3 linked regions of the Tamandua tetradactyla genome follow. The protein of the gene in region 2 interacts with the protein of the main gene of each other region in a pairwise test. Links are inferred from orthologs where the notes say so. Each region holds a gene or a part of one and is shown on either strand. Other genes may lie near its edges.

Region 1 (10,059 bases), on a different chromosome or scaffold from region 2:
AGTCCCTGGCATCTCAGTCACCCAACTGTGGTGGCTAAGTTCTTTGCAGATACACAAGCTACCTAGTGAGGGGAAAGAAGACATGGAGAATTTAGACTACTCTTTGCACTATTTCTTTCCCCAGTTGCTATTCAGCTTTCTATCTCTTGGTAAGATTGTAAATGTTTCAGAAGTTAGTTTATACTAAGGATGTTCCTTCCTAAATCTTGTAAACAGTTATTCCGTCCTACATAAACTCTAACCACTTACACCCATGGTAGGTCCTAACCACCCGCACATCTGTGGAGGGAAAAAAATATGTGCTGGCACACTCACATATACACTCACACATCCTCCTCCCACACCCATACACACACACTCCCTCCCACATATACACAAGCATATGTACCACCCATGAGCGCACACACATACACACACCTCTCCTATAAACACACACACGTACATAGATATCCCTGACACCCCCCCATACACACGCACATTTACACACATACACACGCACATGAGCCCTTCCAACTCAATCCCCCATCTGTAGCTATTCTTAGGTGAAAAGGGGAGTTTTCTACCTGCACGGTAAGAGTCAGTGGGGCAGGACTCTTGCATGTCAGTAGAACCTGGGAGGGGCCACCTTTAGTGCTAAGAGATCATGCTTCCAAGGTAACTTACTTTATTCCTCAATGGCCAGGTCGTTGTTTCTGCAACCACTGGGCAGCGCTAAGACTGGATTTCCAAGGCTGGATTGGGTTCCTCTCTCCCATTTGGGGTGTGCTGCTGCCACGAGCTTTGCAGAACAAAACTCTCTCTTACAGTAGCCTTGAGAGGCAGCCCGGCAAAGCATGGACTGAAGCCAAACTGCCTGGGTTAAATCCTTGGCTTTGGCGTTTTCTAGTAGTGGGACCGCAAACAAGTGACTTCACCTTTCATTGCCTTAGACTTCTCATTTATAAAGTAGTAGGACAATGATGGCAGTACCTACACATAGGCTTGTGATGCGCATGGAATAAGGCGATATTGGGAAGTGCTTACAATGGCCAGGGCTGGCACTTAGTGTCACAGCATGTTTGCTAAATGAAACGAGAGCAGCCCTCTCTCTTCCTGACCTCCTTCTTACCCTGAGGATTACTGCACAATTGGATGGGGGATTACAGGCTTTGCTCTGCCATCTTCTTATAGGCAGCAACTGTCTCTTCCCAGGAAAAACAAATCTCTTACTGAGCAGCTGGCAAACCCCGGACTTGGCAGAGAACGAGAAGAGAAAGTTCTCTCATCAACACGGATGCACGGCGGGGCTGGGAGGGGAGAGTGGTCGCCTTTATGGGACCCTCTGCCCCCAGGGCAGGCCCCAATCTGACGGGTCCCTTATACATGGACTGGAATGATGGCTTGTCATCTGATGAGCACAGTCTCAGACATAAATCCCAGGTGTGATTTCCAAAGGGTGCCATTGATTCCCTAGAGATTCTCACACACATCGCAGGAGCCCTCTGTGGTCTCATTTGATAGTACATAAAAGGGTAAGGGATTCTACAAGCAATCATGCAATGAGTGCGGTGCAATTTGCCATGCTGGGGCGAAGTCAGCTGGAGGCTGCAGGTGAAGTCCACGCTGGCTCTCAGGTTTTCCCCAGTGCCTGCGAAGGCCCCTTCCTCCTTCCCTGCTCCCTCCCATTGCGAGTTCCCCTGTCCAGGGGGGCAGGGTCCTGGGTCAAAGTGTTCCAGCCTCCTCTTAACCAGTGCATGCAAACAAAATGGAGAACATCAACAGAACTAAATAAAATAATTGTTTTCCTCCCTCAGGAATGACAGGGAAAGTAACATTAGAGAGAGACACTTAACCAATCTGGATGACCCTTTCCCCTCATGTTCCCCAGCTTCTATAGACTATTTTCTTCCACAATGTCCAGCTGCACCATAGCACTTGCTTCTGTATGAAATCTAATTATGCTAAATACTAGAGCTTCTACAATTATGGAAATCCAAACAAGCAAAATATGTGGGTTTTCATGGATTTAAACTTGCTTTCCCAGGTTCCTAATTCATTATTCTACAGTAATATCAGGTTTTTAAATTAATTTCCATGTTAGTATCTGAGCAAAACGGAGGGGATAAAAATAGTAAATTTCATTTATATGGAATGCACTATAGTAGCTACATTTTCATGAGCTAGCTCTTTCAAGTCTCACAATACTGTGAGGATGGGTGTATACACCCAATTTTAGACAAAAAAAAAGAAAGAAAAAAACAAACAAATAAAATGAGGCTCAGAAAGGTTCAGTGTCTTGCCCAAAGTCACACAGCTGGTACTTGAAAAGCTGAGACCTAAACTCAGCTAACTTACTCCATCTCTCCTTCTCTGTCTGTCCCTCTCATCATGCTCTTTTCACTATAACAGATTAAAATAACACTTTTATAAATCTAGTATTTTATAAATCTAGGAGTTCTTTGGGAAAGCTCTATCATTCAACCCACACCTTTGGACTGGTCCCTGCCTTCCTTTAGGGCTGAGTTTACACATCCAACGTGCTCTTTAAGGTCCCTTAGGGAACTGACATTCCACGATTCCAGCAGGCAGCCCCCATGGAATTTTGGATTAGACCCTCTTTCTACAATCTCTTCCTGAGCTCTCTACATAAACCTTTCCACCTTCAATCCTTTAATTTACCTGATCTGTCTCAAAGAGTCTTCTCTGCATTAATGAAGTCATGCCCTCCCAGAGGTTTGGGAGACCTGGGAATCTGGCTTAGGATAAGCATGTTTCTCAGGCAACTGAACTCAGAGGGAAAGGAATAAATGATTCTCAGCTCTGTGAATGGAGTCAAGAAGGCTTTTCACACCCGGGGCCCAACTTTGAATTGAAGATCCAATGTCCAGGTCACAGCATTGGCCACCGCACTCACTCGGTCATGCCACCAGACTGGCCCAAATCTTAAACATTCCCTCTTCCAGGACCCTTCCCGCGGGCCCCGCCCCTGTGAGCAAGCAGCTCCCTCCTTCCTTGTGTCTCCCATATAGCACGCACCATGCAGTTTAACAAGCCTAGCCTGGTCCACAAAGGCAGGGACTGTGTCTCATTCATATTTGTCTTCCAAGCACCTAACACCCCGCTTAGCTCGTAAAAACTGCTCCATGAACCTTGAATGAATGAGCAAACCACCCAGCCTGTAGTCTCCTGGGCAGGCACCACATCCACCTTGCATGTTGCACCACCCACAGGGTGCTCTGCCCAGCAGAGTGGGCAACCTTTACTCCCCAGGCTTCAGATGAATTGGCTATCTGTCCCCCAAGGAAGTCAGGAAAGCACAGACTTTTCAGTTCTCAAGACCTTACTAGAATTTCCGCTTTGCCCTGCCTGCTGGCTTCCACAGGGCAAAAGCTCTCCTTTGGCTCCCAGGAGCATAAGCTACATGCCACCAACTGACAAGTGAGAGGCCAGCTGGTCAGCTGGTTGCTCCACTTACTCAAAGCTGGGCGAGTGTTTGTGCTGATTCTGTCACTGCATCCAGGGATCCTTGGGACAGACGTGTCTGGGCAGTAAGGCAGCCTGCGGGCCCATTGCCGGAAGCCTCTCTGAAGTTGGACGGGGCTGCCCTGCCTGCCTTGACAACTTGGATCTTCAATTTGCAGGTTCTCTGTTATGAGAGCCCAGACCCACCCCCGCCCCCTAGATCCCGACCCCCAGAGTGGAAGTCATGACTGTGATCCTTGCCAGGAAATTTGGGGCAGCAGCAGGGAGGGGAGAAGAGGCTATTAGCAAATCAAAAGGGAAGAAAACAGAAGAAGGAAAACAAGGTGGCAAATTAAAGTGCTATGTTTTCTTGTACAAAAAAAATCCAATTATAGAGAAATCTTCTTTAAAATAAAACAAATCATGCCCCTGTTGCAAAATATTCCAGGGACTCTTAATAAAGGCAAAACCTTTTTTAATCCAATTTTTTCTCATTACAAGTTGGATAATAGTCATATCATCCCAATTTCTCCTTAACTCTCCCACTTTTCATGCCCGCACAAACACACTGGGTTGTAACAATGGTCTTATTCTATCTTTGTCTCAGACATTCTCAAGCTTGCTGGTTTAGGCACTTAGAATATCCCTATATCCTCTCATCTGTTCACTCATTCTGATATGCAAACATATCCTCATCTACAGAGCACGCTCACACTGAAACACACTATAGATGCAGATAAACATATGCGGTCTCCTAAATCAATACCCATCCGCTTATCCGTATTCCCCGATTGCCACTCAGCTTCCTCCGGGCAGGTCTTCTCAGTAAAGTCCAAGTGAGCTACTTACCGCCAAAGCCTGTGGGAAACTTCATGAAGTGAGAATAATTTCCATACATGTTTACTCCTCAGTTCATATTTCTCTCCTGTGCGTCTTCGAAGTATTACAGCCTCTCCCAGCTCCGAAGCAAAGCCGGGCTTTCTTCAACTTGAGCTAACAAGAGTGGTCATTGCTTCCTAGCAGCCCCAGGAGCACAGGCTGGGCCAGCCCTCCGGGATTAGTCAGGAATCCGCCTCTACATCTGAGAGTCCACATAGTGCGTTTGAGACGGCGGTGGCAGCAGCAGCTGGTGCCTGTCAGTAATCACGCATAATGCTGATGCCGCCGCCGCCGCTCCTCCTGCCAGCGCCACCGCTGCTGCTCGAGATCCTGTTGCTAGTTTGATTAACTCAGGGCTGGGCTGCTGCGTGCGACTTCCAGCTCCCGGCTCATCCCCAGAGGTCCCCACCGGTGGCACGATCTATTATCTCGGAAGCCAATCGATGTATGACCGCCCCGGAGTAGGTCAGCAGAGCGAGGGAGATGGCAGGGGATGGAAGAGTCTTTAGGTACCTTTCTTTCCCTTGACTTGTACCCACAAAAAAAATCAATGGGGTTTTATTAAAATGCATTTTCTCACTCCAGCTTCTATCTATCCAGTGCACTTGGCGTTTGATCTGTGAAAGGGGTTGGGGGTGGGGGCCAAGAAAGAACAGAGCTCTTTCATGAGTGCAAGAATATAAAAACGTGAGGCTCCACCACCAGCCATGGAAGACTAAAATAGAGTGACCCTCATATTTGGGTGGGTCTCTTTTAATATAGTGGCTGGAAGCATTTGGCTGTGCCCTAACAGTGGAAGCCTGACAAGTGCATTTGGAAGCTAGAAGTCACTCACATGGAAAATTTACAGGTAGGAAGGAGGTTTGGGCCTGACCCTGACACTCACCGGAGGGACACTTTCACTTTATATACATGGTCATTAAGTCGTCTGTTTTAAAAGCACCCCTGGTCTTCACAGACACAAAGACTCTTTGGGTAAAACCAACCCAGAGATCAAAGAGTCTAACCACCCCTTTGATGTCTGGGTCTGTTATACTGCTTTCCTACTAAATCACTGGTCAGCCGGTTCTTGAATACTTCGGATAACGGGGAGCTCACTACTGTTCCATTTCATCTCTGAACAGCATTTACTATAAGAAAGTTTTTACTGAGCTGAAATCTGCCTCTTCTCTCTACGGCTTCTACACCCTGGAGCCACACAAGGGAAGCCTGTGGGATCTTTCATAGTAGGGTCTTCTGCAAATCCTGAGCAAAATCTCCTATACCCACAGGCTCCTCATCTTTAGGCCTCTTAGTTCCTTCTGTCATTCCATGTGTCATAGCACATTCCAGTCTATCCACAACTTATCTAGTACCCATGAATGTACTTCAGTTTACCTAAACATCCTCATGGTAAGGGGAGGTAGCGGTCAGACCTGAATACCAGGGGAACCCAGAATACAAACTAAGAATAAAGATACAGAGGCAGGAACAAAGTGAGGATGAAAAGGAGGCGGGGACCAAGGTGGGCGCCAGAGCAAGAGCAGTTGGGAAAGATCCAAGGCATCTCTTGGAAGGGACTGAGGACACCCAGGGCTCCCTAGGTCGGTTGCTGGGCTCTCAGAGCATGGGCAAGGCGAGGGTGGTGTGACCTGTGCAGGACACAGTGGGCCATTTGCTCACTTGCGGTAGCTGGTGGGTAGCCCCACCTGTCATTTCCTGTGGAATTAACTTGACAACGCTCCCCTAACTGTTCTTTTTCATACATGCTCCTCATTGCATTTTTGGGCAATTGGTTTGGGGGCCTGCTTATAATATTCTTATATTCTTCCGAACTGAAAACTTTTAGGATTCCTTCATCATCCCTGATCTTTGGGGATCCTGCTCTGTTATCCAGTGTATTTCTTATTCCTCTCCTTTCCCCATTTCATAACTTCTGAAGAGCTGTTGATCGGCTTTCTGTTTTTTATCTGTCTGATAAAAGTATTGAAAAGGGCTTAGCAAGAGTGACATCTTATAGCATGCCACTAGGAAGTCCATTCATTATGTGCCTTTAACTCTGACTAGATACAAAGCCTAAAGAGCCCATATCTATAAAGAAAACACCAGCTCAGGAGCCAACCTTTCTATGTACAAATCACAGTTCCTTTGCTTACAGCCTTGTGATATTGACAAGTTACTGAATCTCTCTGAGCCTCAGTTACCTCATAGGTTTATCATGAGGATTAAATGTGTCAACATATGTTGATTGTTTAGAATATGGCAGATACATGGTAAATATTCAATATTTACTTTGAAAGCTATATTTATGATGATGGTGGCAGTGGTGATGCAACCTTAAGCAAGTCATGTTGCCTCTCGTTTCCTTTTTCTCATTGCTAAAATGATGCAGCAGGGCTAGATACGTTTGAATAGCCCCTTCAACTTTAAAATACAATGCAAACTAAATCCATGATCCATTCAGTAATTGTCCATTTTCTCCGCAGAGATATGTGAAGCAAGTGCCTTACTAAAGTACAAGCTACATTTTTCAGTCCGTCAAGTATACCCGTCAGAGAAGGAAGGGAATCATTCCTACACAACACATTCCTCTTTGGTGAACTCATGCTGGCAAGAGTTCTTGTAGTACTCAAGAGCCTTCCTTTAGGGGCGCATGGGTGGTCCCATGGTAGAATATTCACCTGCCATGTGGAAGACCCAGGTTCTATTCCTGACCCTAGCTCCCCCACTCCCCCCCCCCCAAAAAAAAGCCACCCTTTAAAAAAAACACTCTAGAACCTTGTCCAAGGTCAACGTACAGGTGATCTGTAGTTTGTGGTAGACTACCTTTTTATCCCTCTTGCTAAGTTAAGTACAATGCCTACTTCTTTTCCTCCCAAAATAAAGTCCAAACTCCTTAACCTGGTGTAGAAAGGACATCATCCCCATATGTCTCAACTCAATTTCCAAGTTTAGGGTAGAGGAAAGTGCCCTGTGAGGTCATCACCAGGGCCAGGTCATGTACAGCCCTGCTGCTCTCCAGCCGTGTGACCCTGGACAAGCTTGTTTAACCTTGGGGGAAAATGCCCACGCTGCCGGCCCTCTACTGAGATTTCTGGGTCTTTTTGTTTGCGTTTTGTGGATCATTTGTAATGCAAGTATGGCACCCTGGCTTTCTATACAAGTACAAGGAATTAATATTTTCTTTCCTCCCTTTCTCTGAATATCCCCTCTGGTCTGGATGTTTCAGTCACTGTGAGAGCACGATGTGTTCATTCTAACTTCTGGTTCCTTGTTCAAGCCTGGTTTACCTTCTCCCAACTGTCAGAATTTTAACTCGCATGTAAGTTCCAGCTCAGTTCCCACCAGGCCCACGATTATCCCCAGAGAGCTCCCCTAGCCTAAGTCTGACAAAACCTACTGTCCAGTGTGTTCAGATGACACTCAACTAGTGTGGCTTTGTGGCACCCCCCAATACAATGGAGCTGAAGCATTTACCTATCCTTTGAGTATGTGTTCTCTTCATTACATGATTGTTAACTCTTCAGAGACAGTGTTCATGTCTTTGTTTTCCCCCACAATAGATGCTCAATAAATCTTTTTTGCATTAAAAAAGGATTGATATGCTTATAATACACAAAAAACACCCCAGCCTCTTTCCCTGTGATGACTTCCATATGGTTTAACACCCCATAACGAACCATAAACATTTGCCTACAGTTCAAGAAAAATGAATATGGCTTTTCTTTCACATCCACATTTTTTTCCTTGGCACCGCCGTGTCTTTTCTAAGAGCACTATTGATATAACAAGATTATTGAAACCGTCTGGTATTTCTAAGCCCTTCTTGGACAAGCCACCAACTTCAGTCATTCCAATGTCTCCAGCTGTTACTAAATTCCCATTAGGATGTCAAGTAAAAGAACAAATGCCCACTTTCTATGGTGGGAACCTGCTAATTCATTCATAGGGATTCTGGGCTTACTCCTTGTCAATGCTGAGTATCTATTCCTCTTCCATAGGTTTGCTTCTATTAAAGTCCTTACTGGCTTTAAGTGAATGAAAAGAGCAAGAGTTTTCACTAGTGTATTTGAAAAGACTCAGCAAATAATATCTTACAGTTGCCCTGGTGTTCAAAGGATGTGGCCTTGCCTTTTGTCTTGATTTCTTTCTTTCTGTTTTTGACCAATGATCATAGAAAATGATCATTCTATATCTCTGTAACAGATACAGAATGAAAAACCAAATTCATTTATTTGACAATTGACAATAGACATTAACAATAAAATTTAGATGCAAATGCCCCTAAAGCTGCTACTATGGTTTAATATTGTTATGTTTGTGTAGTGCTTTACCTACATAACAGTATATTGAGTTACGGTATGCTATCCCACAGAGCAGTTTTTATTATCTCAATTTCATAAATGAGAAATTTGAGACCAAAGCTGTGAAACCAGAGAAGGAAAGAGAGTTACTCTAACAAACTGGGTTTTGGATGAAGTCTCACTACTAGTAGACACGAGTATAAAACCTAGGACCCTGACCTGGACTCCCAGCCTATGTATCTTTCACCAGATCATGATTCCTCGCTCATTAATGATATATTTTTATTAAATGTGTGTGTGTGCATTTCTATATATTGTTTTCCCTCTTTGTTGTCCCTCCTTCATTCATTTATCTTTCAGCCAACGTGTATTGAGAGCTTATTATCTGCCAATCACTGGAGCTAAACTAGGGAATGAGATGAAGAGATCCTGACCTCATGGAGCTTTGCAGTATGATGGAAGAGAAATATTAAAGAGTCACAGACATAAATATGTCATCATAAACTATGATAAGTGCAGTGAAGGGAAATAATTGGATCTATGAAAGACTATAGCAGGAGAATCTAATTTAAATAGAAAGGTCAGGACAGACCTCCTTTGAGGAAATGACAAGTACACTCAGATCTAAAGGGTGAGTAGGTTTCAGTCTGGAGAAGAAAGGAGGAGGTTGGGGAGGATGCACCAGGCAGCGGAAACAGTAGAGCTAATGGTGCTGAGGTGGGAACATCCTCCATGCATTCAGGAGGCTACCGTGTTAGATGGTATGGCCTCCAAGAGTTCATTGCTCCATTGTCTCACCCAGCATCCCGTGTTTCACCTGTCATATCACCTTTGAACTCTGCACAACTGGAAAACCTCTGTTCCTTGCTTTGTCTCCCTTTTACAAGCTAGTCACACTCATGTGACTCACCATTTTCCAACGGTGTCCTCTAGTAATCCACTTTCACGTGTGTATTCACTTTGCCCCTCTGCTTATAATAGCCTCCCCTCCTTATGCTCTCAGCTGAAATGCCACCAGTTCCTCCAAGCAATTCTCATGGGGCCTTCTAGGTGGCCCTGTGGCTAGACTATTCTCTCCCTCCTTAAGACCCCCATAGTCTGTGGTTGGCAACGTTCTTGTGTCATGAAACATGTTCCTCCATGTACTATTATCATGAATGCATCTGAAAAAAATTTCTTCCTAGACAGCAAACCCTAAATTTCTGGAAAATGAGTCAGATTTATTTTTGTAGCCTCTACAAACTTTATAACAGAATCTAGCACATATTAGGAACCCAGTAAATAGGTGATACATGAACGGATAAAAGTTTGTTGATTATGCCGAGAGCTCCTGAGGTCAACAACAGGACACTGGACATGATGGGGAGAGTATGTCCATTCCTACATTCCAATAGCTCTTAGCAGCCCAAATTTCATTTTTAGTAGCTCCTTTTCCTGGCATCACAGAATCATGTAA
Region 2 (10,271 bases):
TGTAAAAATTACATGGCAATTCTTACGTTCCTACCATCAGTGTCTATTGTGTGAAATATAGAACACTGAGAAGCAAAGGAAACCAAATTCATGTCTAGTGCACTGTGACCTGTGAGTAACAGTCTCTCTGCACGGGGTACCAGGAACAGTTTTAAATATGTCTGGAGTAAACTCACTAATTAAACTGAGCTAAGTGAAGCTTGAAATAAAATATACATATCTATAGTTTAATATCTATGCACTAACTTACAGTTGTTAGCTTTATATCTGCCCTCCTCACAAGTGTTCCCATTTGAAGGCAAGGAGAACACAATCAATTCCTTTTCCTAAATATCCATTCTAACCTAAAGTCAACCCATAAACATACTTTTCTATCAAGAGAACATCTGTGCCTTTTTTGCACCTTTGCCCCATCAAGACAAACGGAACATCTTTTCATCAGCAAGCACAGGCCCCTCTAACTCTGAAGAGCTAAATGGGTGGCTGGCATCTCATTTGAATTCATCTTTACCACGTTCTCTTTCAAATGTTTTATCGAAATAGTGCACCTGCAGCGCCTATCTTCTTTAGTCTGGAGCCCTTTGAAGAAAATGTCAGACTGAGGCAGAGAGCTTCAAAACTTTCAGAGGCACCTTTACAGACAAGCCAAGAAAAGGCTTATTTTTAAAAATGCTATGTTGACCTCCTCCTGCATCTCAAGATGACTATAGCCTAAGAATATTAAACACGCACACACGAACAAAACCGCTCTACTGGTAAACTCTAAGGATAGGACACGATGGCAAATAGTCACCTCCTCTTAACCTCAGAAATTTGGAAAAAGCAAAAGAGAAAGGCACACTGCCTAAAACTACCAAAAAGAGACATCACCTTGCTTCACACATTTAGGTTAGTAAATCATCTTTCAAATGGTCAAGTCTTGGAACATCTCACCATGGCCATACTTCTATTTCTTTTTACGTACAATATTTAAAGAGTTAAGAGAGCAGTACTTTCTTCTTTCCATTTTATACTTTAACACACTTACTCCAGGAAACAAAGCAACACAGTACTAAATGCCAAGAAGCCTAAAGAAGAATCTAAAAGGGAACGACACTACCAAGCATTCATGCTAGTGCTAGTCTGATTTTCTTGTTAAAAATAATAATAATAAAAATCATGTGAGTACATTCTGCATTTCCTAGACAGCAATCATTTCTATCCCTTAAGTTGTGCAACTAGCAATGTTCTTTTCCAGGAATCAAGCTGGAAAACCTTTTAAAGTCGACTGGCAATGAAGGGATTAAAAGCTGAGGAATAAAATAACTGTCTCCACCTCCTCGGTACTAAAAGTCCAATTTACTAAAAGTTTCAAAGCAACAACTAACGCTCTACCCGTATACCACATGACATGGCCTATGAGAAAGGAGCCCGCGATTTCCTATTTTAAACGAGGATGCTCATTTTAATCACTTGCCCCAAGAAGATCCGCCAAAAAGTTTGGAAGAACTTTTGGAGCCCGCCTGTTCCCGCTCCCTCGGATGCCGCTCTCTCCTGCCTCTGCCGCATTGATCGAGTATGTCCTCAACTCACGCCCCCTATTTTATTTTGCCCACCTCCACGCACTCAGCCCTGCATCCCGGAGCGGTGCCCACACGCCTTCCCTGCGGCTTCTCCGCCAGGGTTTTCCGAGGATGCGCTCACCAAATCCCACGTGCCTCTGTCCACAGAGCGCCCTCCCTCCCGCCGCACTTACACCTGAACTTGTCTCCAGCACTGCGGACACCCGGCTGGCACATTCTTTCGGAGAGGGAGGGCAAGACTTTTCTCCTGTGCCTCCGGCAACATGTGGAGTCTATATATGGTGGGGCGGGGGGCGCGGAATTCTCTACTTTGGATTGGTTTGTTTGTTTCAAATCTGGGGGAGGGGGGCTAAAGCACACACACACACACACACACACACACACACTCGCCTCGCCCTCCCAGCTCACGGCCGGTTCGTCCCGGCCACAGCTCCCCCTTCCTTCCCGGAGCACCACCTCGCCTTAACTCGCTCGGGCCCCGGTTGCCGCCCGTCACCTCCGCTGCAGTCGCCGCCGCTGGCACTGCCGGCCCTGGCGCTCGCTGCCCAGAGCTCCGCTGGGCGCTTGTCTTTCTTTCTCTCCCTGTCCCCCAGCCCCGGAATGATTGATGACCACCGGCGGCCAATGGCTCTGACACCTCGCCATCCTCGTTCGGGCATCACAGTCCCACGTTCCCGACGTCAGCCTCCCGGGCGCGTCGACATCCCCCGAACCCACGGAGCGGAGCCCGAGCCCGGAGCCTCTGCGCTTTCCCAGCTCTCTGCCCCGAAGCTACCAGGTTCCTTCCCCCGAGTGGCGGGGACAGGACCGGAGGGAGCCGGAAAGCGTTAGAAAGGGGTGTGGAGGCCACGGACCCACCACCGCCCCCTCCCCTTTTGGAAATATTCTTTCGCTTAAAGTTTTGGTTGTTTGTTGGCTCTGACCTGTTTGTGTTTATTTGTTCGCAGCATCTCAAATCAATTACACATTTTTTTCATGACCCGCATTTGCACTTAATTCGGAGTGGTATGTCGGGGGAGGGGGGAAGAGTGCAATAAATCATTCCCACTGGGGCATCCTTAATTTCTCTTCTGGCTAATGGATTTCAACTCCACCCCTCCCCAATCTCCAGACAAATGCCCCCTTCACCTCCTAGGCCGCAAAACCCCGTAATTCAGAGGCTTTACAAAGATAACCCTGTTACTCGTAAATAGCAGAGAAACTCCCGCCTCGGTATAGGAGAAACCGGGCGGCATCGGTTACTTTTGCTCGCTCCTCCTGCCCCACCGCCCAGCCGTGGCCCCAGCTCGGGTCGTCGGCCCGCTCTGCAGGCTGCGTTCGCGGAGACCCGAGGCGGCGGCGGAGAGCGAGGTTGGAGCGCGGGGACAGGGTGAGAAAAAGCTCCGCGCCGGAGCGGCGCGCGCGCAGGCGGCCGGGGGGCGGCCGCGGGGAGCAGCCCCAGCACAAAGCTGCGCGGCGCCTTCCCCGGCACCGCACCTCGCCTCGGGCAGCCGCGGGCGCCCGGGGCTCGGGCCAACACAATGCGCCCGGGCCTAGGCCGGGGCGGCTCGAACACATAACCCTGAGACTTTCTAGTAAACAGCTCGCCGAGCCCTCGTCCCCACCCCCATCCCCGCCGCCGGGCTTTCGTCTCTGCTTCTTGCCAACAACCGCTCCCCCTCTCCCCTCCTGAAAAAAAAATCTCGGCAGAGAAAGGGGCGGTGAGGTGGGGACCCCGAGAGGTCGGGGTGGAGGGGGGGTGGGCGAAGGTCTGGGGGGGAGGGGAAAAGAGAACAGGGGCAAGATGGGGAGTGGGAGGGAAGACAGCTCCTAAAATATAATTTCGTTCGGGGTGGGGGGATTGAAAATAAACCCTCTCCGGGTCCCGGCGCGCCACCGAATTGCCCCGGAGGCGCCTGCTGTTGCGAATGTCAGGGGCATCGGGGCAGCCGCGTTCTGCAGCCTCCGAGCCCTCCGCACGCGTCTCTGACAAGGCACCTCTCACCCTGGCTCCGCTTTGTGTGTGCATTTTTTTTTCCCCTTCCTCTCGCGCTCGGCACCGGGAGCCCGGTCGCCTCCTCCCCTTCCCCCTCCCTCCGCCTCCCTTCCCGGGGCGGATTACCTTTCCCGGGCTGCGCTCCGGGTCCCGGGGATGCCTTCAACGCCCGGCGAGCAGGCGATCCATCGCTGAGCGGCCCGAGCCGGCGGGGGGCGCGCGGGGGCGGCGCGGGGCGCGGGCAGGCCAGAACCTTCGACCCGGGAGGTCCCGCCGCGGGCTGGGGCGGGGGTCCGGGGCCGCGGCGCGAGAGGGAGGTGGGGGAAAGAGGACGGGAGCAGCCTCGATCAGGGGAGAGAACGAGCGAGGGGGGCGAGGAGAGGGAGCGAGGGCGCGGCGAGCCGAAGGGAGCGCGAGCGGTGCAGTGACAGGGACTGCCACTGGGGTCAAAGGAGCACAGCTCCAGGAAGCAGGGCGGCCGAGGCGCCGCTCCGTGCGCGCTCCCCTGCGGGACCCCGCGCCCCCGCGCGCCCCTCCTGCAGCCCCAGCCGCCTCGAACCCCCACCGGCGCCCGGAGGCCCCGAGGTTGCAGCAGGAGGAGGTTTCTGAGGGCGAGGCGAACCGCCTGCCGGTGCGCCCGGGTCAAGCAGGCGGCAGGAAGCTAAGCTGCAAGTTCATCATCATGAGTAGGATCAGCGTAAAAATGATGGGCGGGGGCTAGGGGAAGTTGCGGGGCTCCATGAAAATAAAAGGGTTCTCCCTCCAAAGGGGCGTCTTCTGCAAAGCGAACCCGGACCCCCACCCCCACTCCCACCCACCGACCTGCCTGCCAGGCGCTGTCAGGAGTCTTGGCACCGCTCCAAGGCTCAGAGTCGGCGGTGGTGGCAAGGAGAGTGGCTCGGGCACTGTGCTCAGACCATGGAAGGCGACCCCAGGTCCTCTCCCATCTGCTGAATTGAGACTTTCCAGGGGGGGAGAGCCAGACACACACACACACACCCCTCTTTCTCTTTGCAGTGTTGTTCCTGGGAAAGAAAAGGCCAACCCTGCTGATAATTTTTTTCACCTCCATGAATTAAGGCAGGTTCAGGCTTGGAAGGTGAAGAAAGGCAAAGACTCTTAATTGTCTCCATTTTTGTCCTTTGGACACGTAGTTTTCCCCAAAAGCTAAGCACTTCAAAAACATTTTTAAAATCAAAGTTAGTCTGGTTTGATCTGCTACTTTGCAAAATGGAAGAAAAGCTTTTCCGAATTGTATGCAAACAACATAAGGAATGGAAAAGCTGTTGAAATGCTAGAAGAGGAAGACAAGGAAGTGGAGGCTTTTAGGAAACTTGGTGGCGGGGCTGTCTGTGAAAGATGAGGTGGCCCTGTGATGTTATGCCATTGTCAGAGCTGAAGGATTTGGACGACAACCAGATCTAATTCCTTTCCAGGAGCCAGACTCAAAGATCTAGGCATTCTCTGGAGGGAAATCCAATGTATGTGTGTGTGAGAGGCAGAGAAGTGTGCTAAGTACACTATGTGACAACTGACTAGACATCCTGGCTGAAATTATATCCCCTAAAAATAAAAAGGAGTCATTTCAACCTGGTCTGTGGCCTCTGTGCTGAAACTAATTGGTTTCCAGGGTCTAGGGAGGAAGGGAGAGAGGCTGGTAGGAGTCCCTATAAAAAAAGATCAAACGGAATTCACTTGAAAATATTTCCCTTTTACAATGGGCTTTCCTGGCACTTGAATTTTAAGTAACCTATCTCTTATGCCTGGGCTGAAATGAAAGGGGAAATGGCCTTATTAATGTATTTATTTTATTGTACAGCATGCTCAGAGCATCAGTACTTGTCAAATATGTTGGGATTGAGAGGCCAATGACTTTTCCTTGTTCAGCACAAATCACAGCAAGAGACATTAAAGGATGTCAAAGATAGGGCGGTGGGGGCTGGCACCTTTATATTTTGTCTCCTTTTGTTTTTCCAACCAGGCAACAAGCCCTGACTGGAATCATGTTTTTGAAGAAATATATGGCTTTGCTACCCTTACTGTATGAGTTAGGAGTACACTCCTCTTATCTATATGGTTTAATTTTTGTAGACTAATTTGGTCTGATTAATTAAATCAGTCAAAAAAATTATCATCAGCCTGATCGTTTTTGTGGCTTGCTTTCTTCCTTTTTATTTTTTAACTAACTGATAGTTAATCAAAGCAGCCAAACTACTTTGTACATGATTCCGAATCTAAATATCTGCACACAATAAATAATAATGCTTTTGTTGCAAATATTATGCTGTAATTCATGTTTTAAAAAGTCAAGTGAACTGTTACGAAGCTGATGAAAATTTCTATACTGTTTTACAAGTGAGGAAAAACTGAGGCAAAAAAATTAAAACTTAAAATTAGAACTGGTGATGAAAGAAAGATCCTTTCTTGGATCAATTATCTACTGGGAGAAATAGTAACCTGGCAGTATTTGGGTTATGAATTTATATTTCCATTAGGCTGTTAAAACAAAGAAGGTGGAGAAATGTAAGTGAATTTAAATAATAAATCAGGAACAAAAGGAACTCATCCTCATTATGTGGATTTGAACATACTGCATTCTGTTGAGTCTATTCTACATCAGTATAGCTACCAACGCTAAAAGCTCACTTTTAAATGACTGGAAATGAACACTATCTGTCTCCTAACATCTGCTTTGAAACGTAACTTCATTATACTATATTTAAAATGCTATAAGCTGGGGCTTTTGTTGTTCTTATTAAGTGAGCCTACAAGTTCTGTTTTTCTTTTTTCTTTTTTTTTGTTAAATTTAACTTTTATTGTTTAAAATGGAAAACAAAAGAAGTACAAAAATCAAATGGCAAGTTTACTGTTTTCTCTATGCAAATATTACAGATTGTTTGCTTTTAATGGAATGTAAAGCTGAACGCTTTCTCCAGTGATGTCGTTGAAGGAACTGGCAAATATGATTCCAGATAGCTCACTGCAATACTTTTTAAAGTATCTCTTTCAGAATGCATTTAGTGAAGAAAATGAAAAGGGAGTCTGGGAGAACTTAGAGGAGCCTGGGAGGAAGCTTGGAAAATAAATGCTGCTTCCCTCGCAAGCTCAATACTTTATTTGGAGTTAGCTTTCATCCTCCCTTTGAAAATGGGATTTCCAATACATCAGGACATGTTTATAACTTAAAACTTGGTTCAATCCTGTGGTTCTTCGTCACCAAAAAATTCCATTGAAATTATCGTCTTTCGTTGAATTTCTTTGAAATTATATGCAGCAGTCTATCTCTAGGAACAAGCAGTAACTATTTTCCTTTAACTTGTGTTTTATCATTTTCCAGCAAGGCTAAGATGTGTATTTTCAGAAATCAGAACCTCTTGATAGAATTACCGTTATGATGCAATTAGGAAAAAACCTGAGCCAATAAACACCTTTCCTTTATTCTGAATTCCTACAGTTTTTGCATTTTCTTTACTTGTTGAAAGCGCTTACTTTTTAGCTTCTCCAGTATAAGAATTATGCTCTTTAATCCTTTGTGCCCCCATGCTTATGTCCTTTGCACATAGTAGGAGCTTGGAAATACTTGTTCAATGACTATATGGGTTGATAAATGAGAGGGTAAATGAGAGAATGCAAGTAAGAATGAGTCAAATAGGCAATGAAAGAAAATCCACACCAGGTATGCTAGAAAGGAAGTGAGGATAGGAGGCCAGTTTTGGAGGATAAGAGCTAAGCACTTCCCATGTAGTTAAAATAGTATATTTTAAAGTATTTACTAATGTCTTTAGAAACATGAACTAATGCATAAGAAATATGCATTCAGGAATTAATTTTTTCATAGAAAAACTTAAGATTTTTTATGAACCATGCCCATTTAAAGGCAGCCCTTTTTGGAAATACAGCGTAAAAGGATCCCAGAAAAAAGGATACGGGGTAAAATTTGTACCTTAAGATTTAGAGGGATAATGTACCAAGATATATACTAAAAATAATGTGTATATATATATGTGTGTGTGTGTGTGTGTGTGTGTGTGTGTGTGTGTATGTGTGTGTATGTATAATTAACCTGATTCTTTGATAGATCCTTTTGGAAATCCTCAATATAACCATATAAATTATGTTTATATGTCCTTTGTATTTAAATTTCCTTTTAATTAACTAATAAATATGCCTGTGCATAGAAAGATTCAGGAACTTCACTCTAGAAGACATGAAATTTTATTTAATAAAATAAATTTATAGACATTATCTTAGAAAAGCTTAATTTAATCCAGCTTCGCAAGGACCTTAAATAATAAGCATGGGAGAGATAGAAATCTTAATATTTTGCAAAACTCACGTTAATTCTTACCAAACTTACTAGTCAATGTCTACATAGATCAATACATCAGATAAGTATTATTTTTATACAGTAATTATTTTTAAAGTTGGAATAAGTTGGCAAGCATGGGTTAGTGTGTTTTCAGTTTTAATGTCCATCCTAACAGACTCACCTGATCTCTGTTATATATTGATTTTGCTCATTCTGTCCCCACGTCAAGGTTTCAATTTTGAAAAAGTTATAGAAGTTGGTGGTACTGGGAGAGGCTTGCCCTGGTGGAAGTAATCTCTTTGGAAAGATGGTCAGTGGAAAATCCATGATAACCTTATTAAATAAAAGGCTTGTGGGGGATTTTAAGTTTAATCATTCAATTTGAAAAGACAGCATAAAGTATATTAATATTTTGAGTAATATATAATGTAATTTTCCTTCTCAACAAAAATAAATGAGCTAATACAATTTTTAAAAATTGAGTTTGAGAGACCAGTAGACTCTAAAATCCACTTCTTACTATATAATTAATGTAATAGTTTGATTGTTCAACAGATATGTTTTAAGCTTAGCTCTGTGTCAGACACCATACTTATTATACCATGCTGATGGTCTAATGATGCAAAAAAACATGTAGTTCATTCTCATGATCTGAGGATATTGAGAAACTAACTTTGAGTAGCTGCACAAATAGATGGAAATTATATCTGTGAAAAGGAGAGGCACCTGGTACAAAGGAAACATAAACTAGTGAGACCTTGGGGTTGAGTGAAGGCTTCCCAGATGGAGGAAAGGATTATAAGGTGGTCATAGGAAAACCTGAAGTAGTGTGGCTGGGGCTGTAAGGAATTGCATGGTGGGAGAGGGGTCCGAATCTGATCTTGTAAACAGAGGCCAGAACTGTAGAGCCATGTTAGAGAGATTTGAAGGTCACAGCTAAGGCCCTGTTCAAGATGCTTGACTTATCCTGCAGGCAATGGGAATGTGTTTAAGGATCTTAAGTAGAAAGGGTAACATGATGAGATTTGTGTTTTGAAAAGGGCACTCTTTCCCCCAGCGTGGAGAATGGATTTTAGGGGGCTAGAGTGAACATTGGGAGGTCACTGGGGAGCTATTGCTGTCTTAGGGAAGAGGCAATGGTACCCTTCATCAGGAGAGTTTTGGAAAACGGGGAGACCCGAGGGACTTAGATGCTGATTCAAGAGGCTTGAATACATTTTACATAATAAAAACAAAGTGTAGCAGAATTGTGAAATGCAGGTCAGAGGTATAGTCCTCCTTAGCCAGACAGCCTGAGAGTCATAATCACTTAATGACTTCCTTTCTTAAATACAACTCACAATCCAGCATTCCTAAATCTCCAAGTCATCTCTATTCTATCCAATACACACAGCTTTTGGAATCTCACCTTTTCACAAAGAACTGCAGCACTAAACACAACAATGTCATAAAGTGTCACTAATCTAATTTTGTTGGAACCCACGGATCCTAAAACTTTATCCCCATTCAAAGACTCACACCTGTTTTTCGCCTACCTATGCACTTGTTCTTATTTCACATGTAATATAAATACCGCAGGTAAACGTATTTCTGTTTTTCTTCAAAGTTGTTTGGTGCTATTTCGGTTCCATCCCCAAAAGACTGTAGTCCCTTATATTAATATCCCATGTCATATTATAAGGGTGCTTAACAAGCACACAAGGGAGCAGTTGACTAGCCCTTGGTTTTACTGGATGCATAAAATTAAAGTAAAGTTTACTGGAAGATAGTTTAAAAAATCACAACACTACATCAAAATCACTATTTTGAACTCAGTGTAGTAGGAAATTTCAAAATATCTTTTTCTTTCTCAAGAGTATTCTAGTCACTGTTTTCGGAAATATTGAAAAACACAGAGAAAAGCAAAATGAAGAAATTAAAAACCAACTATGATGCCATCATTCAGAAATATCCACTGTTAATATTTTGGTATAAAGTGTTTCAGTCAAATATATTTTACAAAAATGGAATAAGATTAGGAATGCAATTAAGAGGGAGTATAATATAGTGATTGAAAGTGGAAGAGGATTTGAATCCCGTCTCTACCTCTTACTAACAATGTGACTTTGGGGAAGTCACTTAAACTATCTCCCTGTGTCTTAGTTTTCTCATTTGTAAAAAAAAAAAAAAAAGATATTAAAAGCACTCACTTCAAAAACTGTGTGTGTGAGGAGGGTTTGGGAGTGTGTACTTTCTGCATGATTTTCTCTGTAAACCTACTAGTACTCTAATAAAAAGACTCCTTCATAGAGTTGTTCTGAGGATTAAATAAATTGATATTTTTTAAAAAGCTTAGAACAGTGTTTGATGCATGTGAAGCAATTATTACATGATTTTGTAGTCCACTATAAAGATTTTTAATACAAAATTAATACACATTCATTGC
Region 3 (10,023 bases), on a different chromosome or scaffold from region 2:
TGGGGCTCCACTACCCACAGAACTTCAGAGATCACTTTTAACTTTACTCTCCTATGCTTTTACTATTTTTTAACTAAAATACGCATTTTTGTTTCTTTGGTCTATAAATTCATTATGAAAAAAAATGCAGCGAAGAATATCTTGGAGCCTGATTAACACTGTAATATTATGGCCACATTTCCTCACTCTCTATAAGTCCAACTCTGCAAGCAAAATCATTGCCTGCCCTGCTTTGTAGGACACGACATCGAGGGGTGAAATTCTCCCTGGCAACATAGGAGATGACTCCCAGGGATGAGTCTGGCCCAGTTGTTGACTGGGATCAACAATTCCATCCTGACCAAAAAGGAGAAAAAAAGTGTAACTAACTAATTATCAGTGGCTGAAAGAGCTCAAATAGAGTCAAGAGGCTATTCCAATAGCCACTCTTAATGCAAACTTCAGTTAGACATCGTTACCTACCATAACTTGCCAAACCCCAACCAAAACCATTCCAGCCAATTTAAAGAACACCTAGAGCAATACATAAGATTCTACAAAGGTTCCATTTACTAGAGTAACTTTCAGATGGGTCCGTGGACCAGATAGGCCCTGAAACCTAGAGTGGCCAGCCTCTCCAGAACATCAGCTAGTTTCATCTCCCTACCCTGTATTATTGACAGCCATAACCCAAATACTCCTGAAGAGCGGGAGAGATCAAAGTGATGGTAGAGTTACACAGAGAAGGTTGGGTTTAACAAACGAGTATGATTGTTCAGTCATTACATTGATGTTTCTTTTAGTCTCCAGTATCTTAGAGCAGTGAGAAATAAAAACCTAAAACTGGAACTGTAACCTATACCAAACTCTGAAATCTGGTCTACAACTAATTGTTGCACTGTCCTTTGAAATTTATTGCTCTTTTGTATATATGTTATTTTTCACAAAAGAAGAAAAAAAAAAAGTCGACTGTGATGATAAAAACATATTTATTCCTTCTAGCCTCCAATGTTCTGGAGCAGCTAGAAGGAAAAATCTGAGATGATGGTATGGTAGCCCATGACACACTCTGGGATGTGTCCTGTAACTACTTGTTGAAGAGTGCCTTGAAAACCATCACTTTTTTCTTTCTTTGCTTTGTATGTATGTTATATTATACAATAAAAAATTTAAAGAGTATTAAGTTAAATGTTAAAAATGAAATGTCATAAAAGTTATGAAAATAAAGGTTTACTCTTGAAAAAAATATTATGGCCATGTTTTTTATCAAAATGAAAATAGATTTTTATAATTATAAAAAGAATCCTGAACATTGTAAAAAAAAAAAAAAGATAAACTAAAAAAACCACTATCAGTGAGAACCAATGTGATCATTTTTCCATGCAAACAAGTACGTATCTGCATTATTATATTTAAGGTTATATGGCCACTGTACATCTGTACCACAATTTAACTAGCCCATTCCTGATGAAAATTTAGGTTGTTTCCAATGTTCAGTTATTACGATAGTTCTGTAACCATCCTCATTTCTATATTTCCTAGAGGCAGAATAGCTAAATGAATTTTTTTTAAAGCACAATTAAATTCTTAATCTCCTATACATTACTAAACAGCTCTTTAGAAAGGTTATGCCAATACTTTGAACCTATGAATGTGAACCTATGAATATGAAACTGTCAATCTGTCCATTTTTGACCTACAAAAAGATAACATATGGCATGACCTAACACATTCCTCTCATTCTATTAAACAGAAGAACATGCCCGAAGACCATGGGACATGAAAATCATTTATTTTGTGAGAAAAGGCACTAAGCAATTTTCATAAAGATAGGGATGATGTCATCTAAATGCAGGGTGCTATCATCATCAGTATGAATGACATGTGAAGCATACTGATACAGTGGAAGATGTACTGAACCAGGCATTAGGCCCCTCTGGCTTTCATCCTGCTTCTCTGACTGCTGTGGATATGTCCCCTGGCTGCCCTCTTGGGACTTCATGACGAGGCTGATGATTTTAAAACACTGCCTGAAAAATTCCACTTTTCATATTTTCCCTCTACGGCTCCACTGGAGAGCTTTTCATTGCTTCTTATACGTTTGAAGAAATTTTCCCGTGGAAGACAATGTGAATGGTGACTACAACTGTACTCTTTCCCACCCCACGCCCCTCAGAATTTAGGAGCAATGCACACCTGAGGCAAATCTGAAGTGGTACTGCTGGTTTCCATACAGAACGGAGAATCTGAGTGAGTTAAGTCTTGAGAAAGATTACTGATATTCATGGCATCTGCTTCTGACATGCTTTGTAATTTTTCATGAGAAGTATTCACATCAGAATGGACGATGGTCAAAATTTTTGATAGTTCTTGCTCTTGAATGTTGAATGATGGAAACCTTTTTAAAAAACATAATTTTAATGCCTATTAGTATATGTAAACAAAGTTATTTTTCCATTCTTTTTCACAGTAGGAAGATAGCAAAGTTCACTGTCCTAAACTTTAAAAGGTCATTTGTTAAGTTATTTAGACAGATTAATAGTGTACCATGGTTTAGTCTGAGTGTCCCATGGTTACTTTGGTGATATTGATTTGGACAAAAACAAGTCAATATGTGTAGTTACTATCCAATTCCCTAAAAGGCTTAGACACAGAAGAAAACGGGATCTCTGAGTTACTTAATCAAAGGTTCTTTACAGAATATTATCGGAGACCTATTAGGTTCCATAAGACACTATATTTCTATGTAATTGATACCTCCTATTCAAACACCTCAATCTCAAGTGAAATCCACTATTCAACATCACATCTATTTTCCTCACTATCCTACATCACACTTATTTTCTTAGGTACTTAGGTTTGATGTTTTCTTGGCATCTCTACCCCAGCAACCAGGCTTCTCAGTTATCAAGTCCTATTAATTTCTCCTTTAAATTTCTTCACGGCCCATGTTTACTTTCCATCCTTCATGTTATCACACTGTTTCATGTTCTGGTGATCTCCTCAGGTATGCCAGAAGACCTAAGTCTGGATGTCCAACTGAAGCACTGTTAGTATGGAAATGATGACCAACCAAACTAAGACCAGATTCTTCTGCTCAACTATCTAGGCCTTTCATAATTTCATAATTTGGACTTACATTTCCTACTCACTTCTCCCTTGCTCTAGCCAGATGAGGCTCACTACCCTGCACATAGATCATGCTCCTTCCCACCTCAAAAATTTGCTGCAGCATGTGCTTCTCTTTCCCAAAACTTTCCCTAGTTTTATTCATCTATTTCTTTGAACTCCTAGGATGTCCTCAGATTCTAAATTTGAGTCTCTCAATTCAGCACCTATTTGTTTTCTGTTCCAGAGCTTTCACCACTGTTTCAGGTGTATTAGAACTTGTATTCATAGATTATAAGCATCATATGAGAAATTCATTGTTTTTCAATACCATTTACAACAAATAGATCTGGGCTGTTCAAGCTGTAAATATCAACAACATATTGCATTTCAATTATATATTTATGTTAAACCCTTTAAAAAAGCTGGCAGGCACTACCCATTTGCCTGAATTAGTTACTCGAACTGCGTTAACTATTTTGAAAACCATGGAATTATTTGGTAAAGTATAAAAGTTAATGGAGAAAAAAAAAAAGCTAATGAGCCAAGCAAGCTAGTCAGGATTGGCAAAAAGGCCAACTTCATGACCAACCTTTCCCTATCTTGCAAATACGGAAATGTTGCCTGAGTCGTGGGGAATGGGACCTGGAAAACTCCTTGCGTTATTTACCAAACACAGAAAAAGACAAAGGCTTTATGTCTTATTTTTTTTTGTGTGCGAACCAGAACTTCAAATTGCACTTCTACAACTTTATTCAACGCTTATATGGCACTGCACAACCCGCCACATTTTATGGTCAGCTATACATCTTCTATTTATGTCCTTACATAAAGTTAGATTAAAGTTCCTTAAAGTTGGATTTTAAAAATATTTGGCTAGATATTCCACACACTAACATTCTCTTTAAATAGGCTTTAGAAGAGGTGTCAGTGGAGATACTCGCAAAAATTCTAAGATTTTGCTTAACAATTTTTCTTCAGTCATATAACAGCTTTAACTTCTTAAAGCACTTGTCTCATTTTCATCTCAACGCAATGCACCAAACTTTTTAAGACGCAAAGTGTGCTCACTTTCAGGCTCCATTGAGTTTCTTGGGTCTACAATAGGGATTTCGTGCTTCCTCCCTCCGCACCGTGCTCCGTGGCAGGAAGAAGAACGCTTTTCAAACTTTTCCACAGACGGCTTTTTAAAGCTCGCAGCTGAGATCCAGACAACTTGGAACCACCCGGCTATGACGTCGGCTCGAATGCAGCCAATCTGGGCGGTTAAAGATGCCAGTCACATTCCGACGCCCTCACCGCAGCCCCGGGCGGCGGCATGGGGAACTTCGGCATCTCCGTGCCAGGCGTTCTGAAGCTATGCGGTTGCGACTGAACAGCGTGTGGACTACCTGTCGAAACCTTTACCTAGAAGAAACACAAAGCGAGGTGCTGACTGAACCGCCCCGAGACAAACGGATACACGCCCCGCAGCGTTTCCCCTGCGTACTGTCGGGAGAGGGCCTCACACACGTTCCCGGCGCAGGGGAGGGACTTCTGAGTGGTACTTCCTGGGTAGGTGGGGCTTCCTGTCGGGACCGAGCTTCCGGTTGGGGCGGGACCGGGCTTCCGGTTTGGGCGGGGCCGGGATTCGCTGAGAACCGTTGGTCTATTCCGCTCACCGCACGTGGCGGGGGCTGTTGGCGTACGGGCTTCTGAGCTGTTGGAGAGTTAGGGATCTGCGGAGACGCTGCTCCATCGGCGGCGGGTAAAACCGTGTCTGTGCGGTTCCCCTCCCCGCGCGATCCTTCGGTGGCGCTAGGGGCCTACCGCGCTTGCGCCATGGACTACCGGCGGCTGCTGATGAGCCGGGCGGTCCCTGGGCAGTTTGACGACGCGGATTCCTCCGACAGGTGAAGGCCGTTGAGGACATCGACTTTATCCGGAATCTGCTCTCTCCTCCTCCGACCTCTTGCGGGAGTTGACATTTTAGTAGTGGTCTAGGGGAGACTGGTAATTCATGGCTCAGCGTCTCGCTTATCAGTCTTTTGCTTCCTCCCCCCTCCCTCAGCTGGGGTCTTTCGTCCCAGTTTACGCAGGGTCAGTGGCAGCCAGTGGCCACCGGGGTCCAGGGTTTCCTATTAGTTGTATAAGCTTACCGAGGGGTAGAGGTGGGGATAAGGATTGGGGAACAAAGGTTTTTGCGCGTTACCTTTCAGCACCTACTGTGTGCCACGTCCCCTCCTCCGCGCTGGAGGTAGTGATGAACAAGACAAACCAAGCTGCTGCTGTCGTGGAACTTTGCCTTTTGCCTGGGTGAGGGGCAGGCAAAGTTTTTTTTAAATCAGATAATATATACTATGCGAAGAAGTGAGAAAGGGTGATATACTAAATAATGACTGACTGGTCGGTCGGAAAGAACCCAGCCCAGATTTAGAAGACCAGAAGACGCTAACCACGGGAACAGCTGAGGGAACAGCATTTCAGGCAGAGGAGACAGAAAATGCGAAGGTCCAGAGGCGGGGTCCCTGTTGGCTGTGAAAGAACAAGAGACCAGTGTACCTAGAACACGGGGAAGGTAGTTAGGAGGATTGGGAGGTGATTTTAAAGGGGTGAGAAGGGGCCAGGTCATGTAGAGCCTTGCAAGTGATGATGAGGAGTGTAGATATTATTCGACATCTCATAGAAAGCAGTAGGAGGGCTTTTAGCAGGGGGAGGATGTGATTTGATTTATGATTTGAAGGAATTGTCTGCCCTTTAGATGGTGATAATGGAGGGTAAGAGTGGAAGCAGAGAGGTGAGTTCAAAAAGAGTAATCTCATTCATAGATGATGAGAGCTAGAATCAGGGCCATAGAGGTATGTTTTGTTCGTGGAAATTATATGGTTTGATCATAAATTGGATGTGGGGTGTGAGGAAAGAGAAACAGAATTATTTTGAAATTCCAAGAAAATCCCAAGAAAACAGTTTTTACTTAGTTTGCAGTAAGGATTCATATTGGCTCATTAAAAATTTGTAGAGTTTATTAACCGATTGGGGAATTTTCAATAAATGAATGTTGATCGTTTTTCTATGTGCCAGATCTGGTGTTAGGTCATAGGAAAACATTGGTAAATAAAACAGACTTTGTCCTGGATGTCACAGAGCTTATGCTGTGGCAGGGGAAACATTGAATAATTAGACAAAATAATTTGTGTTAGAATTAGATAAGCACTACAAAGGAGAAATGGGTGGTGAAAAGGGAACAATTCCCTGAACAAATGATAGTCTGATGACGATGGAAGGATGAATAGGGCTTAGCCAGAGAAATGGGAAGGGCATTCCCCATTTATGTTTACAGATAAGCATACAAAAGGCCTTAGGGAAGAAGAAACAAGAGTGACCAGTTAATGTTAAGGAAAGTGGGCTGGTTTACCATCCATCATGGGGTATGGTGAGGATAAGCCAGGGCTTCTCCGCTGGAAGTGGTTTTGCTCCTAAAGGACTATTGGTAATCTCTGGAGACATTTTTAGTTGTCATAACTCATGAAGGTATAGGGACAGGTGCTACTGCCATTTGGTGGTAGACCAGGCCAGGGATGCTGCAAAACATTCTCATCTGCTACTGGATCTGAAAGTTCACATCAAGTGATAAACTTACCCTGGGCCATTCTCTCACTTTCTCTCAGTTTGACAATCCCCATTTCTCTTTATGTCTTAAAGCTAGTCCTCTGCATTCACCATTCCCTCCCTTTTATATGAGCAAGAGTGATTTGGAGTTCTGTGTAATATACTAAATCCTGATACAGCCCTTTTGTTGCATGGTGGAGTTGAGTTCAAGGTAAATCTGCCTGAGATTTATTCTCGACTTAAAAACTTTTCTGTTAAAGCAGTTCTGTAGGTGATTTTCTTAGTCAGATAATTCGGTACTAATAAGAGTCGGTTCATTCAGTAGGGAAGATGACAATATAAGTCTAACTTCATTAAGGTAGAAGGGGCTTAACAACTGATGCACTTATTCCCTAGTGGAACTTGGGCATGGAGAGTAAGCAAAGAACTGCAGCAGAACTTTGAAAAACTGGAGAAACTTCTTCTGTTGAGAGGATTGAGCTTATTGGGAGATATGCTGTAAGGGAATCTTTTAGATTTATCTGTATACAATATGGTCTGTTATGTAGTAAGTAAATATATATGTGGATTGTGAGTCCACTTAAAATATTTGTAAACATTCTAGAACATTGTTATTTCTAGTGAAAACAGAGACATGAGGACAATCAAAAAGGAAGATGGCATTCTCTTTGAAAACCTTCAAAATAATGTGAATGAGAAGGCGGGTGAAGATGAGATTGAAGAGGAGAAAGAGGCCTGTGATGATGATGATGATGATGATGATGATGATGATGATGATGATTGGGACTGGGATGATGGAGTTGGAAAACTCACAAAAGGTTATCCCTCCAATGGAAGGAATAACCCACAGGTATTTTATAAGTGATCCTACATGTCTTTAAGTTCTCTGCTTATGCTGTCTTTTTGTTAAAAGTCCTCCTCATGGACGTGGTTCTGAAATTAAGTAATTGAAATATTCTTCCCAGTTTATATTGTTCTGTGGTCCCAGCCTTTTCCTTTATTGATATTCATTCTTTATCTTTTCTGTATTTCTGATAATTTCGTAGGTCCAGTCTTTCCAAAATCAGTTAATTTTAAAGGAGTTATTTAAGGTGTCGTGAATTTATGAGCTTAAAAATCATCATAAAAAAGGCCACAAATATAGACAGTTTACTACAAAAGGTTAAGAAACATGGAGGAAAAGTTCAAGTAAAGAAATGAAAATTAAATGTTTAGGAATACCATTTTTTCATTTATGAAATAAACAGTGACAAAATATATAATTGATGGTCAGGTAAATAAGTACAATTATTTGGAGGATAAATCGGCATGATATGATAAAAGCTTTAAAAGCATACAAATCCTTTCACACAGAATTCCTCTAGTGGTGTGCCAAGACTTTATTTACTAGAATGATCGTCCAGTATTAGTATTGTTTATGGTAGAGAAACATTGGAAACAAACTAATTTCCCCACAGTGGCAAACTGGTTAAATTTGCTATTGAACTGCTTATTCACACAATGGAGTATTATATGTCCATAAGATATATTGCAAGGAAAGATTATTTAATGACATGGAGGAAATATGTTCATGATCAACCTTCTTCTACCATGTACAGGAGATAAGTTACCAAACTATAAATCATGCCTGTATCTCAAATTGAAAGTACTGTGTGTGTCTATTGTGTGCAGTCATAGGATTGATAAGGGTGTCTTCCTGAAATATAAAGGATTTTGAAAGATGGAGGGGGGAAAAAGCCAGCAATATTCTTTATTGTTAAAATAGAGCTATATTATGGAGTAGAATGCATGAATTTTTTAAATAACTGAAGAAATTACACATACTTCTGGTCTTTTTTTGGTAACCCCTTAATTGATTTATTGGTAAAACTTTGATTAGTTTTGGCATGGAGTATATATAATCCCTTAAGAAAGAGCCTGGAAAAAAAAACCTGGAAGTATATTGCTTAAATATTAACTATTATCTTTGGATGTCAAGACTATAGGTGATTGAAAAAAAAAAAAAAAAAAAGAAGTGGCTAGAGGGAAGTACCTGAAACTACTGAACTGTGTTTTGATAGCCTTGATTCTTGAGGAAGACTGTATAGCTATATAGCTTTTACTGTGTGACTGTGAAAATCTTGTGTCTGATGCTCCTTTATCCAGGGTATGGACAGATGAGTAAAATAATAATAAGAAGAATAAGGATAAATAAATAATGGGGGGAGATAAAGGGTAAAGACTGGGTAGATTGAAATACTGTGGGTCAACGGGAGGAAGGGGGAAGGGGTATGGGATGCATGAGGTTTTTTTTCCTTTTCTGGAGTGATGCAGATGTTTTAAAAATGATATGACAGGGTGGGTCACGGTGGCTCAGCAGGTAAGAATGCTTGCCTGCCATGCCAGAGGACCCGGGTTCAATTCCCGGTGCCTGCCCATGTATTTAAAAAAAAAAAAAATGATATGGCAAAGAATACACAACTACGTAATGATATTGTGAGTCATTGATTGTATAATATGGTTGGACTGCATGTGTGTGGATATTTCTCAATAAAAATATTTTTAAAATAAGTTTATTTAAAAAAAGGCTATAGGTGATTCCTGAATATAATTTTTTGCACTATATTTTGAAAAAACTGGAAAGATTTTAGTTATAAGCTTATGAAGAAAAACAACCAAAAATAGTTTATTCTGTAACTCAATCTGGTCTCAATATAATTTAGGTTCATGAAAGAAGTGCCCTGAAAGTAGTTCTATAGGAAGGAACACTGTATTACAGTTAGAATTGTTCTGCAAATGATAGCAGAAATGGGATGAAGAATATTCAAACATTTCATTGTCCCTTTCAAAAGTGTATTTCTGTTTCTGGTTTTTTTTTGTGGCTAACTTTCTATTTGTGTTTCCTTGTTCAATATAAATTTTTATACTTCCAGATGATAATAGCAAATTAATAAAAATAATTCTTAAAGAGCTCTAAAAAAAAAAAGGCTATAAGTGATTGAAAAAAATTTTACCTTAGTTTTCTACCATGAATACATTAATAAAAACTTACTTTACAAGTTAAATTTAGGGTGCACGGGTGGTTCAGTGGTAGAATGCTCGTCTTTCATGCAGGAGACCCGGGTTCAATTCCCAGACCATGCACCAAAAAGAAAAAAAAAGTTAAATTTAATAGATATTTTTTAAAGTATTATACAAATAAAAAACTCAGTACCATGCTAGTTTACAAAATTGAATCCATCATTGTTATAGGCCCTTTTTATCTATACTTTTGGGGTTTTAGATGTTGTCTTTGTTTTTGTCACCATTTATGTTTGTGCGTACCACAGTCTTAGTGCTGAAGCCTCATTACCATTCTTTACCTTTCTT

The links.
Region 1: the proteins of MPPED2 (region 2) and RXRG interact in binary tests that used the Homo sapiens proteins (3 or more experiments, as listed by UniProt). The two-hybrid records come from large-scale screens. The link is inferred for Tamandua tetradactyla from reciprocal best matches to the Homo sapiens genes MPPED2 and RXRG.
Region 3: the proteins of MPPED2 (region 2) and CAGE1 interact in binary tests that used the Homo sapiens proteins (3 or more experiments, as listed by UniProt). The two-hybrid records come from large-scale screens. The link is inferred for Tamandua tetradactyla from reciprocal best matches to the Homo sapiens genes MPPED2 and CAGE1.

What each region holds. Positions count from the first base shown.
Region 1 is NC_135330.1:18,710,339-18,720,397, forward strand, and holds the start of RXRG (retinoic acid receptor RXR-gamma), read right to left. Parts: upstream 4,649-10,059; 5' UTR 4,340-4,648; coding exon 4,291-4,339; intron 1-4,290. UniProt on the Homo sapiens protein: Receptor for retinoic acid. Retinoic acid receptors bind as heterodimers to their target response elements in response to their ligands, all-trans or 9-cis retinoic acid, and regulate gene expression in various biological processes.
Region 2 is NC_135334.1:106,455,427-106,465,697, forward strand, and holds the start of MPPED2 (metallophosphoesterase MPPED2), read right to left. Parts: upstream 3,772-10,271; 5' UTR 3,664-3,771; intron 2,932-3,663; exon of another isoform or gene 2,843-2,931; intron 1-2,842. UniProt on the Homo sapiens protein: Displays low metallophosphoesterase activity (in vitro). May play a role in the development of the nervous system.
Region 3 is NC_135351.1:10,025,154-10,035,176, forward strand, and holds the start of CAGE1 (cancer-associated gene 1 protein), read right to left. Parts: upstream 4,707-10,023; 5' UTR 4,577-4,706; exon of another isoform or gene 4,495-4,576; 5' UTR 4,159-4,494; intron 2,378-4,158; 5' UTR 2,284-2,377; coding exon 2,176-2,283; intron 1-2,175. Other genes in the region: RIOK1 (serine/threonine-protein kinase RIO1), read left to right, coding at 4,909-4,979, 7,297-7,525.